Linked DNA regions of Saccharomyces cerevisiae S288C. Changing the gene in region 2 together with the main gene of any one other region gives a genetic interaction. Each region holds a gene or a part of one and is shown on either strand. Other genes may lie near its edges.

Region 1 (3,623 bases), on a different chromosome or scaffold from region 2:
ATTTTAGACAGGTTGACGTGATTGACTAAATGATTTGGCCAACTTGTTTATAAAAGGGTTCAAAGCCAAAGGAAGACGTGACCATTCTTAACAGTGCAACGAAAGACAGCCTCAATATAGAGTTAGACAAAATAATAATATAGTAATTTAACATAGTTTAATATAAAAATAAGTAAAAAAATAATAATACTAATAATAATAGTAATGATAATAGTAATAAAAGAAAATAAAGAAAAATTGCATTTCGTTAATAATAATAGTGTAGACTTATCATTTTTCCACTAATTCAAATCCTTCACATCTTATTATTATCTCCTTTTTTTTATATTTTTTTTATGTTTCTTATGCTTTTTCGCGGTTTGTTGCACTAAAGGGAATTATTTGTGTATATGACGAGTGATGATTGCATCTTCCTTTGTTTTCTTGATGTTTCTTTCGTATTCTTCGCTTAAAGAATTGACTAAAAGTTTTCTACGTTTATGTTTCTTGTATTTTTCTTCTACTACTCTTCTTGTTAATAAGTATTTTCCTTTTTAAACTTTGATTTAGGACGTGAATCTATTTATTTTTTCTTTCTACCCCCAGCTTGCCTTGGTAGACTTTTTTGGGCTGGCTTTAAAATTTGAAAAGAACATAATAAACTTTCATCAACACTCATCATTGCACCAGCGTTATCAAATTCACCACAATAATTCGGAGCACTGAAAAGTGTCACCAATTGTCTTTTACTAAAGAATTCATAACCATCTTCCACAACTTGATGGGCCCTGCAAATCAACTCCATATCTTGTTTCTGTAAAAATCTGTTCACTACATCAGGACCAAAAGTGAAAGAAACACCTCTATCATTTTCACTCCAACCTACGATATCTTTATCTGGATCTGACCACAATAAGTCACATAATAAGCCAACGTCGGGAATATCTGTTGGCCTCATCACCCTTCTGATCTGTTCCATACTATTCAAATCTGGTGAGAGACCACCATGCATACAGAAGATTTTCTCATCAATAATTGCAGCAATTGGTAAACAATTGAAACAATCCGTGAAAGTTTTCCAAAGTTTGATATTATAACGTCTCTTACATTCATCATAAAACCCGTAAATTCTATTAATGGAAGCACATTCATGGTTCCCTCTTAAAATGAAAAAGTTTTCTGGATACTTAATTTTGTAAGCCAGTAATAGACAAATAGTCTCTAAGGATTGTTTACCACGGTCGACATAATCACCCAAAAATAGATAATTAGATTCTGGCGGGAATCCACCGTACTCAAATAGACGTAGTAAATCATAGTATTGCCCATGAATGTCACCACATATCTAAAAAAAAAAAAAATAGAAAAAAATAAGTTAGTAAATGAATTTGTCACTAAATCTAGCTCATTCCGTTGACTTTAAGAGAACAATTACTGCTGTCAAAAACGCTTCATTTCTCCCAATGCCTTCTGCAAATCCACATTTCTTGGTTTTCGTCCGACCTTTCTCTCGGGCTCAAAAAAAAAAAAGATTCGTTTTCTTCATAACGAAAAAATGCCTTCTTTTTTTAGTGTGAGCAAGGGGGATTTTTCTGAATATGGGAGGCGCCGGCCGGATGATGATACAAAACATAAGGAAATCTTGGTAAAAAAATGCCTAATAAGATAGAAAAATGAAGAGCTAAACACACACATTATCTCGGCTATCTCGACATATGAGTAGGCTAACATCAGATGCTTGGTAAATTCTTTCAGTCAAACGGAAATAACTGCTGTAACTATCTTACTGCCGCAACAGGAGTAGAACACATAAAACACCTGAAGCTCTAGGCATTCTATCTCTTGACTGCGAAGTTCAACATTAACATACTTTAATTGGGGCTTCTAACTCTAGTAAAATGGGTTGCTTTATGAATATAGATCTGGCTTTCGAACATAAGTATCTGATTTCATTTTCTTCTAGATCAACTTGTTGACCAGGTTTAGATCCTCTTACTTCCAATAATCTATCGATGATATTATCAACGTCAACTGGTTGTGAGTCCATTTCTTTAATTTGAATGTATATTGTGGTAATCTGCTTTCCTCTCCCCAGTTACTCGTTCGTTCACCTCTTATTTTTTTTTTCAGTTGTGGTGTTAACTTGTGTTACGTTGTTTTTTTCTTCTTCTTTTCTACTTTTGATTTTTTTTTCCCTCTCTTGTTCCTTGAAACGAACGCTAAAAGAAAAAACAGCAAGAGCAAGAAAAAAAATGGGGGAAGAGCGAATAAGCAATGATTGTTATCTACATAAGGGGTAATTTGGCTAGTTTCTAACTGTCATCCCCATGCAGCCTGTCAAAGACTGATATATGCAGTCAAGAAATAAAAAACAAATTGCAATAAGCTCTCCACTATAGATGGCACAAAAACAGGTTAATAACAAGTAGTTATTACATTCCTCAACGAGATGAGCCAACAAGCAACCAATAGTGCACCTACTTGTCTAACTTTAATTGAGGTTGTGCTCACAAGAAATGTTTTGCCAGGTATCTACCTCAATTGAATAACAACCGCAAAAGCTTTAGTACTAAATTGTCTCTCACCTTGTCTTCAAGAAAAGGGGAAGGTAGATGAGAGAGAAGTCTTGCAATTTTTCTCAACCTTTCAACTCGAATGGAAATCAGGTTGTAAGGGAAGCAATGAAATGTCAGCAAACAGCCACTGACTGTAATTCTTTTGTTGGAGTAAAAATCAACTATCATCTACTAACTAGTATTTACGTTACTAGTATATTATCATATACGGTGTTAGAAGATGACGCAAATGATGAGAAATAGTCATCTAAATTAGTGGAAGCTGAAACGCAAGGATTGATAATGTAATAGGATCAATGAATATTAACATATAAAATGATGATAATAATATTTATAGAATTGTGTAGAATTGCAGATTCCCTTTTATGGATTCCTAAATCCTCGAGGAGAACTTCTAGTACTTTCTACATACCTAATATTATTGCCTTATTAAAAATGGAATCCCAACAATTATCTCAAAATTCACCCACTCTTCATCTTTGAAAAGATAATGTATGATTATGCTTTCACTCATATTTATACAGAAACTTGATGTTTTCTTTCGAGTATATACAAGGTGATTACATGTACGTTTGAAGTACAACTCTAGATTTTGTAGTGCCCTCTTGGGCTAGCGGTAAAGGTGCGCATTTTTTCACACCCTACAATGTTCTGTTCAAAAGATTTTGGTCAAACGCTGTAGAAGTGAAAGTTGGTGCGCATGTTTCGGCGTTCGAAACTTCTCCGCAGTGAAAGATAAATGATCTACTATGATGAATGACATTAGCGTGAACAATCTCTGATACAAAATCGAAAGATTTTAGGATTAGAAAAACTTATGTTGCCTTCCTTCTGAAATTTATTTTTTGTCACTATTGTTATGTAAAATGCCACCTCTGACAGTATGGAACGCAAACTTCTGTCTAGTGGATAACAGAATTTTTCTATGGCCAATTTATTCTTTTTTTTTTCCCTTTTCTTAATGTGCGTATCATTGCCGGGTTTGAAATTTCGAAATTAACTACTAAAAATTACCGCTTTAATGTATGGAATATGTGTATCTTGCTAGTTTTGCGTTGCCCTCGCGAT
Region 2 (4,197 bases):
TCGAAGGCGTATACGAGCCAAGAAAAACCTTATTTCCCAGTTTGGCCAGACCGGCTGCATTGGGTGCGACGGTAAATTCTCTATAGGCATCACCATTGAAAAGTATGTCCTTAATTTAGTCGTGAGAATCATCATTGTGTTCGCCCTTTGTCGTATAACCGAATTGAGTGTCTTTGATTCATCTCTAAGGTGTAAAAGCAGAAAAACCAGATTATCTAAAGCTGCAAGAAAGAAAGAAACTGATCATTTTCATGAACAGTGCAGATATGTGGAAGTGAAATTTGGCCTGCAGATGGCATATCTGCAATCCTAGCTTTTTCCTTCTGCACTTTAAACCTATCTATATATCTTCGATGAAAGTACTGCATGAACATATCTGTATAGATAGATATATGTAGGGAAGACACCCGGTATGTAAATGTTAATGCTCGTAAGATTTCGAGTTTGTAAAAATAAGATGCGGTATGCACTTGAGATCTCGTAAACTATTTGTATGTTGATATTTTTGCGCTTTTCTCACTCTCGTATTCTTTTAGAAAAGAAATAGAAACGAAGAAAGAGCCTAAATTAGACCGAAGACGGCACTAATGACACTTAAGACACCAATAAAAGTGTTAGTGTTTAAGTTAGAATAATTCACCAAAGCATTGCCCGCATTTTTCTTATGAGTGGAAGACCCAGAAGCAGAGGCAGAGGCGGAAGCAGAGGCAGAGGCAGAGGCAGAGGCAGCAGCGGCGGAGGCAGACAAGGAAGCAGAAGAAGAATAATCATCATTTCCTACACCTGAGACTGACCTGCTGTCAATAGTACCGTTCCAGCAGTAGTTGGTAAAACACTGGCTGCATTCAGAGGGCAATGTAGCATTCAAGTTTTGTTGCTTACGTCTGATAATGGCGCAACCAACACAGCCCAAGAAATCAGAATCATCAGTAAAATTACCCATTGTGGCAGCTTCAAACCCATTCTTAATCATACCAAGACGTTCTGAATCGGAGTATGACATCTTAAAAGTACTTTGGTTACCATTAAATGAATGTCTTGAATTTGGAATGTAAACAATTAATGGTGGAATGTACTCCAAGTCTGTCAAATTTCTTGCATCACAACCAAAAAAGGTTGGCTTTTTGTTCAACCCCAAGTTGACAAATGTGTTCACATCTGGAACATATGGGAAAGACAAATTGAGACCTTGGCTGCCAAATTGACGCTGATAAGTGTTAACTAATGAAGCACCATCTGGCCAATAGTCGTCAGTATCAGCAGAATTGTCTAATGCAAAAATAACATCTAGTTCACGTTCCTTTTGCAACAATGGAACTAAAGGAATATTTTGGTTATCTTCACCACCATCAACCAAAAATAGATATTCTGATTCGATAATACTGGAGGTTGCGTTCTTTTGAAGAAAATTAGCTTCCTTGAATGGATTTGGGGCGTAAATTGCAATATCGTCACTATTGTCGGATAAATCTTCCAGGAAATCGGTGGCTAAGTTAGCAATAAATGAAGGTAAATCGGTAGAATTCAATCTTAGTAAAAATTGGTTAAACAACGTAGATGAAGTGGCTGTTATGAAACCAGTGTTATCAAACCCGGCAATGCATTGGCCTTTATTAACTGGTTTACCGTTTGTAACGTTGGTACCTAAATACTTCACATCCGTAAATGCGTTCAAAGTGGGGTCCCATGAACCCATTTCAAAGGGATTAAATTCGAAAAGAGTGGCATTCAAGTTTATCACGGTGGTACCTGGGTATCTACCGTCTGCAACAGTGATAGGGAAGGGCATTTCTCCATTCTTGAAGACATCAGCTTCCCTTAAAGTTGACCATGTGTACCCTACACCACCACGGTGTAAGCTTGGCCAAAAATTGTACGCAAGAGCACGGCCCCAAACATCCGCCAAAGAGATGTTGAAACCGGCGTCTTTTTTATCCTGAACGTCATCTGATATGTCGTCCCATCTACTCCCAGTCTTAAAGATGTTAATGCCGTCTGGGGTAAGAATTGAATGAGAGATGTCCCAAATTGAGTTAGATTCTGTTGTATTATCCACGATAGCTTGCACAGACGTCCAGTTGTTCCAAGCCAAAGTACTTGTTAACCAGTTACCACCCGACAGACCTGCCAAGTAAGTTGCACCTTGCAGCAGCCCACCAAGACCATGCTCATTTGCGCCATCAGTACGATTGTCCATAGCAGCAAGCATACCAGCACCAGACAACATGGCACGGTAACCACCACCAGAACAGGCGACGGCAATCTTAGGCATATTGGAAGAGTTGCTACCAAAAAGAGTGGATAGCAAGGAAGTGTCACTGAAATTCGAAGTGGCCCTATTCAAAAAAGAATGCAAAGCCTCCTTGGTGTATGCATCTCTTTTTTTCAGCCATTCTGTTTCGTTATCTGACAAACCAGATGCTTCTCTGACTAAGTTAATATCATCATCACAGGTTACGTTCGCAGGGACGTAACTGTTATTTGGTGACCAAGCGTTAACGTTCTCTGTTAGAGAAGTCAAAACTGCAGCAGAAACCAACAAACTCTGCAACTTCATGGTTTTGTTTTATTTTCTTTCCCGTTTGCCCTTAGGATGGATAGCTTCGTGTAATTTACGTTATATGAACGAAAAAAGAGAGAAATGTTAAGAAAAGAACGAAGAATTGATTAGTTAGTATAACCTAATAAATGTAGAACCTTACAGCGAAGAGACGTTTCCGTTGGTTAAATGTGGTGGAAGCGTCTTTATATATTAGATGATGTAGTTTACCTAAGCAGTTAGAAGAAAATAAAGTAACCAAGTCATCTTCTAAGCAAAAATAGGAGACGTAAATGAATGTTGCTTAACTGAGAAAAATATGCGGGAATAAGCGGACATGTTACTGTATGAGGTTATTTCCCTTTATAGATAAGGGCGTAAACCGCATATAATGAGGAAAGGCGAAGTTAGAAACGGACTTTTTAGGTCGCTTTGAAGAAGTCCGTGCAGGAAACCCATGCGTCCACTTATTTTAGCACTATGTGGCATGAGAAAGCTTTGGAAGGAATAAACGTTAGGACCCCACTGCGCCGCTTTTACGCAGGGCAATTTCGGGGACAAAGGGGGCTGAAGGAATACAATTCCGATCCAAGGCAACAAGTAGGTCAGAACCCTTTATTAACCTGCGCTTGTTAGTGGCTTCCTTTGTACTCTGTCCGTAATCCAGCATAGCGCTGAATTGCTGAAAGATATGGGTAGCGGTCAGATGAGAAGGGCAATCGTCAGGACTTCTGTTGAAAAGCGGACTAAACATAGGCATTATCATTCTTAGAGTTTTACGAGCAAATAGAATCGAGTGACTTCCGTCGTTGCTAACAGGCGCAGTAATAATAACCGCGGACGAAAGCCACGCAGGCAAAGAATGCTTTCGCTGAAATATCGGAGTCTTGCTATTGTTCAGGGCTTTGCCGGTGCGTAAATAATAGGCTGAAGCGAATTTGATTTCCCGCACAAAAAATTTTTGCTCGAGTAAGTCATACATATATCTTGCATGCGTAAAAAAAATTGCAATTGCTGAAGATTGAACGACCGCCCACCGGTATTTTCATCTCTTCTAGATCAAGACTAACTGCTCGTTCAGTACAAGTATTTTACGATAGTCCATATTACTCTTCAATTAATATTTTTTTTTTATATTCTGGCCCGTTTTTGACACAATTTTTTCCTTCTCTTTTTCTCCCTATAAACTATGCAGAAGTAGCGATAATCACGATCTTGTTAATGATTCACATGTGCGCAAGTCGTATTGTCTGTCTAGATAGTGAGATGCCTTCTAAATAACAGGAGAGAGGCAAGATAGCATAACGGCGCAATGAAGGTAATTTCTGCCAGTTTTCTTTGCATTGACGACTGAAAGGGCCCTTGTAAGAGCCGCTCGACAGGGCGACGCCACAGTAGAGTCGCTAACACCGAAATATGCATATTGAAAAACATCAAAGTATAAAAGAACAAAGAGGGTGGCATCTGCAGATCAAAAAAAACAATAACCACCAAACAAGACACTAAAAAAGGTCGTAAAAAGGTCAAAAGTTAGAATGGTTAAGGTATATATTCATGACAACAAGGTTGACTCCGATTATCGCGCACCCCACAATTCTGGAACAGAACTTTCCCTGGATGAATTAGCCAAGTTAGGAGTGATTTATAAATACTGTGCA
Region 3 (3,942 bases), on a different chromosome or scaffold from region 2:
AAGGTCGCCTTTTCGATGGTAGCGTGCATTTTCTCGTCATTTTTTTTTTACTTGTCGTCTTTTCTTTACTGCTTCACCTCTTATCAAGCAAGTGTTTTTCGTGTCTCCCTGTGCCAGTCAGAAAATACATATGATTGGCAACTGTATATCCATTGAGATCGACTCGGTTATCTGTTAATGGAAATTATTGCTAGTAATTATAAATACCTAAAAACAACATCCTAACAGGCTTAAGTAACACTACTAGATGTTGAAGCAGCAGCGTTGTCAATTTCTATTCATTTGACATTTTTCCGAAATCATAAGCGGGCGTTTGAACTATGTATAGCGCCTATGTGGTATTAACCCATACTATATCATATAAAATTTTTCCTCGGAAGAGTGCCAGAATGAAATTTCTTGTTCCTTGGTGAAGGTCAAGAACTAGCAAAGAAAAGAACATCTGTTTATGAATTTGACAAGAATTTTGTTTTAACACCAATATAATATCACCTTTATAAAATTTACTGAGAAATTAAATACTGTATAAGTCATTAAAATATGCATATTGAGCTTGTTTAGTTTATTTCCTGCTAAACAAACTCTTGTAAAATGGTTGGTCATCATGCATTAGGTCATCAGCGTTGTAGTCAGCGCCTCTCTTGGATACTGGAACCCAGGAAGCTGATTTCCATGGTAGAACACCTTCGGCGTACATATCATTAACTTCTTCTAATGATAAACCTTTAGTTTCTGGAACGAAGAAAAAGACGTAAAAGTAAGCGAAAACCATACAGCCCATGAAAACGTAACCGTAGTAGAAGTTGATGGCACCAGTAATAAATGGGGTGAAGAAACTAATCAAGAAACCCCAGATCCAGTTAGCAGCACTGGCAATAGACATACACTTGGATTTGACTCTTAATGGGAAACATTCTGAAATAACAACGTAAGCAATTGGGGCCCAGGTAGTAGCGAAACAGAAAATGTAGAAACATGCGAAAACAATCATACAGTTACCAGCACCCTTTGAAGATGGTTGATCTTGACCGTTTGGCCATAATCTGGTAACACCAACAGAGGCATAGACAACATAACAGCAGACCATACCGACAGCACCCCACATCAAACAGTTACGACGGCCAAAACGGTCAACGGTGTACAGAGAACAACAAGTGGAGAAGAAGTTGACGACACCAAAGACAATAGAAGTTTCAAAAGAGTCACTTAAACCGACAGCCTGGAAAACAATGGTACCGTAGTAGAAGAAATAGTTATCACCAGTTAATTGTTGTAGAGATTGAATCATGATACCCATCATAGTACGTTGAAACATGGCTGGTTTACCAGTGAATAATTCGCCCCAAGATGCAGTACCAGCGGCTCTCATTTCTTCGACACTGGCTTCGATAGTTTCCAACTCATATTGAATGTATGGATGGTCAGGTGGGCATTTGTTAACTTTAGCTAAAGAAGCCCTGGCTTCGTCGATTCTGCCAGCTTCAACCAAATAACGTGGAGATTCAGGAACAAACATCATACCACCAATCATAAATAAGGCCCAGGCGAAACACAAACCTAATGGAACTCTCCATTGGACAGAGTTTGAGTAATTCTTGGTACCAAAATTGGTACAGTAACCTAAGAAAATACCTAAAGTAATCATGACTTGGTAACATGAAACCAAGGTGCCTCTCATTTCACTGGGGGCGACCTCAGATATTAGCATGGGAGATAAAACTGTGATACCACCGACACCTAAACCAGAGATAATTCTACCAATGAAATATTGGTACCACTTGTTGATCGAGGCTATTTGAATAATGATACCGATAGTGTAGATTACTACAACGACAATCAAACCGATTCTACGACCATACATATCACCTAGCTTGGCTAAGACGATACCACCAATGGCACAACCAATGTTAAAAATAGAGACAATTAAACCAGTTCTCACCTTGGACAAGTAATGACTACCGTCGTGGTGCTTCATACCAAATCTTCTTAGAAAATCAGTTTGAGCAACAAAACCAGAAATGGTACCAGTATCCCATCCAAATATGAAACCACCGAAAGCAACCATAACACAACAGATAGAAACCGTTACGTAGACACCTTTTCCGGTGTTTGGAGGGGCAACGGCGGGTTGCACTTGACTTTCACTTAAGTTGTCGTGAAAACTTTCATTTTTACCTTCTGGAGTATTCATGGCCTTTGAACGACCAGATTCCAATTCATATGAGTTGGATGAATTGGATTTCTGAGGAGATATTAGATCGGGAGTTGAATTCATGATTTTACGTATATCAACTAGTTGACGATTATGATATCTTTATAGATTTTAAGGTGGGGAAAGAACATGAGACCCCAGATGGAATTGATTATGGGGACATTGTTGCCTTTATATATAATTTCAATATACTAATTCAAATGATTAAAAACGTGAGGGGGACACGCAACTTCGGGTGTTAAGAAATATTTTGCTACATTAGATAATGGTGGAGTTTCCTGGCTTGTCGGATAAAAGCCATCAAATGTCGCAGCAGCTCATGTTTACGTTTGCTGTCTTCTGCCCACGTCATATGAGTGGTATTCTTCTATCAGCACTTGATGAATATTCTTTTTCTCATATATCTGAAAGACAAAAGATCGGCACGGCAATGCCCTGCAGCATTTCTTCCTAGTTTTTCCGAATTTCCATTACGTATTGGATCTTGTGCGCATATTTGTCAGTCCTTCACGGAAAAAAAAAAAGAGCACTGGGTCACTTCGGAAAAACTTTTGACTCAATGCAACAGTGTCATAATCCTTTGCGCTGTCTCTTTGAAGAAAAATCAGGAGTGCAAGATATCGATTAATTCCTTGGAAGTTATGATGGTTAGTCTTAGTTTAACTCTCTTGAAGAAGGGTTTTTTCAGTTGGTCAACACTCTTTAGAGGTAAAAAAAAAAAAAAAAAAAAAAAAAAGAGAATTCTTCATGTAATTTACCATGATTCTACGTTTTTGCAAGCAAAAATGAAGATAATCCGAGCGCATGCGCAAGTAGTCCCTGCCATGCCGCTTCGGAAAAACTTTCGAAACCAATACTCCTTACATCCGCCTTGAATTTAGGACCTACAATTGTTGTCTCTTCTGCTTGAACCAATAAGCCCTAGAAACCTTACACCCTAATTTGCACAAGAAAACTACGAAAAAATTTTTTCCTCTTTTTTCCGCAGCTCCAATCTCGCCCTGCTATTTTTTTGGTTCGGAGAAAAATAGTCGGTCGATATGAATTGAAGTTTCATTGTGGCCACTCGTTTAGGAATGGAATAACCTCCGCGAATGGAAAAAAAGAACTCGGAATATCAAAAATTCCGGCTCAAAGGAAAAATTTGCTTCAGGAGGGGGGAATTATATTCCAGATGAGACCTGCAAGGATTTCTGTGTGAGGTTTTCTCGGAGGAATAATAGTTTTCCAAAAATTACTTTTGGCAACTACGTGAATATAATTGACTACGGATATCCTTCGAGAAGGCCATAAAAAGAACCGTGACAGGGCCAAACAGAAAAATAATGAAGACAAGTTTGCTTTTTCTCTCACTGTATTTGAGGATCGGAAGCTTTTTGCACTGAAAATATTCTGGGTTAACAAGGTTTAAAGAAGCAAACTGCCACAAAGTATATGAGAGTATAACCGGACGGTACCTATACTTTGAAGTTGGAATAAATACGGGGTAGACAAAAAGGATGTGTTTCTGTATGTCTGATGAGAATGATGTCATCAAAGAACGTAAACAACAGTAACTGTCTATATTCTTGCTTTTTATTATGCGCTGTTACAGCAGGTAGCGGAGTTTTCAGTTCTTTCCCTAGTATGTAGTATGAAGGATAATACGGTAAAAGAACGGGGCTCTTGATTCATCATATAAATTTATTTTCCCCTGTTGAAACCTCGAGTAACCGTCCTCACTGTTTTAT

The links.
Region 1: mutations in PLB1 (region 2) and GLC7 impair growth when combined (synthetic growth defect), as found in Saccharomyces cerevisiae (one study listed by BioGRID).
Region 3: mutations in PLB1 (region 2) and HXT1 together harm fitness more than expected from each alone (negative genetic interaction), as found in Saccharomyces cerevisiae (2 studies listed by BioGRID).

The regions. Positions count from the first base shown.
Region 1 is NC_001137.3:430,898-434,520, reverse strand, and holds GLC7 (type 1 serine/threonine-protein phosphatase catalytic subunit GLC7), read right to left. Parts: upstream 2,027-3,623; coding exon 1,850-2,026; intron 1,325-1,849; coding exon 563-1,324; downstream 1-562.
Region 2 is NC_001145.3:280,028-284,224, forward strand, and holds PLB1 (lysophospholipase), read right to left. Parts: upstream 2,558-4,197; coding exon 563-2,557; downstream 1-562. Other genes in the region: YMR007W (uncharacterized protein), read left to right, coding at 1-313; YMR008C-A (uncharacterized protein), read right to left, coding at 3,054-3,521; ADI1 (acireductone dioxygenase (Ni2+-requiring)), read left to right, coding at 4,075-4,197. UniProt on the Saccharomyces cerevisiae protein: Sequentially removes both fatty acyl groups from diacylglycerophospholipids and therefore has both phospholipase B and lysophospholipase activities. It also displays transacylase activity.
Region 3 is NC_001140.6:290,351-294,292, forward strand, and holds HXT1 (hexose transporter HXT1), read right to left. Parts: upstream 2,276-3,942; coding exon 563-2,275; downstream 1-562. UniProt on the Saccharomyces cerevisiae protein: Low-affinity glucose transporter. HXT1 is as well involved in the transport of mannose.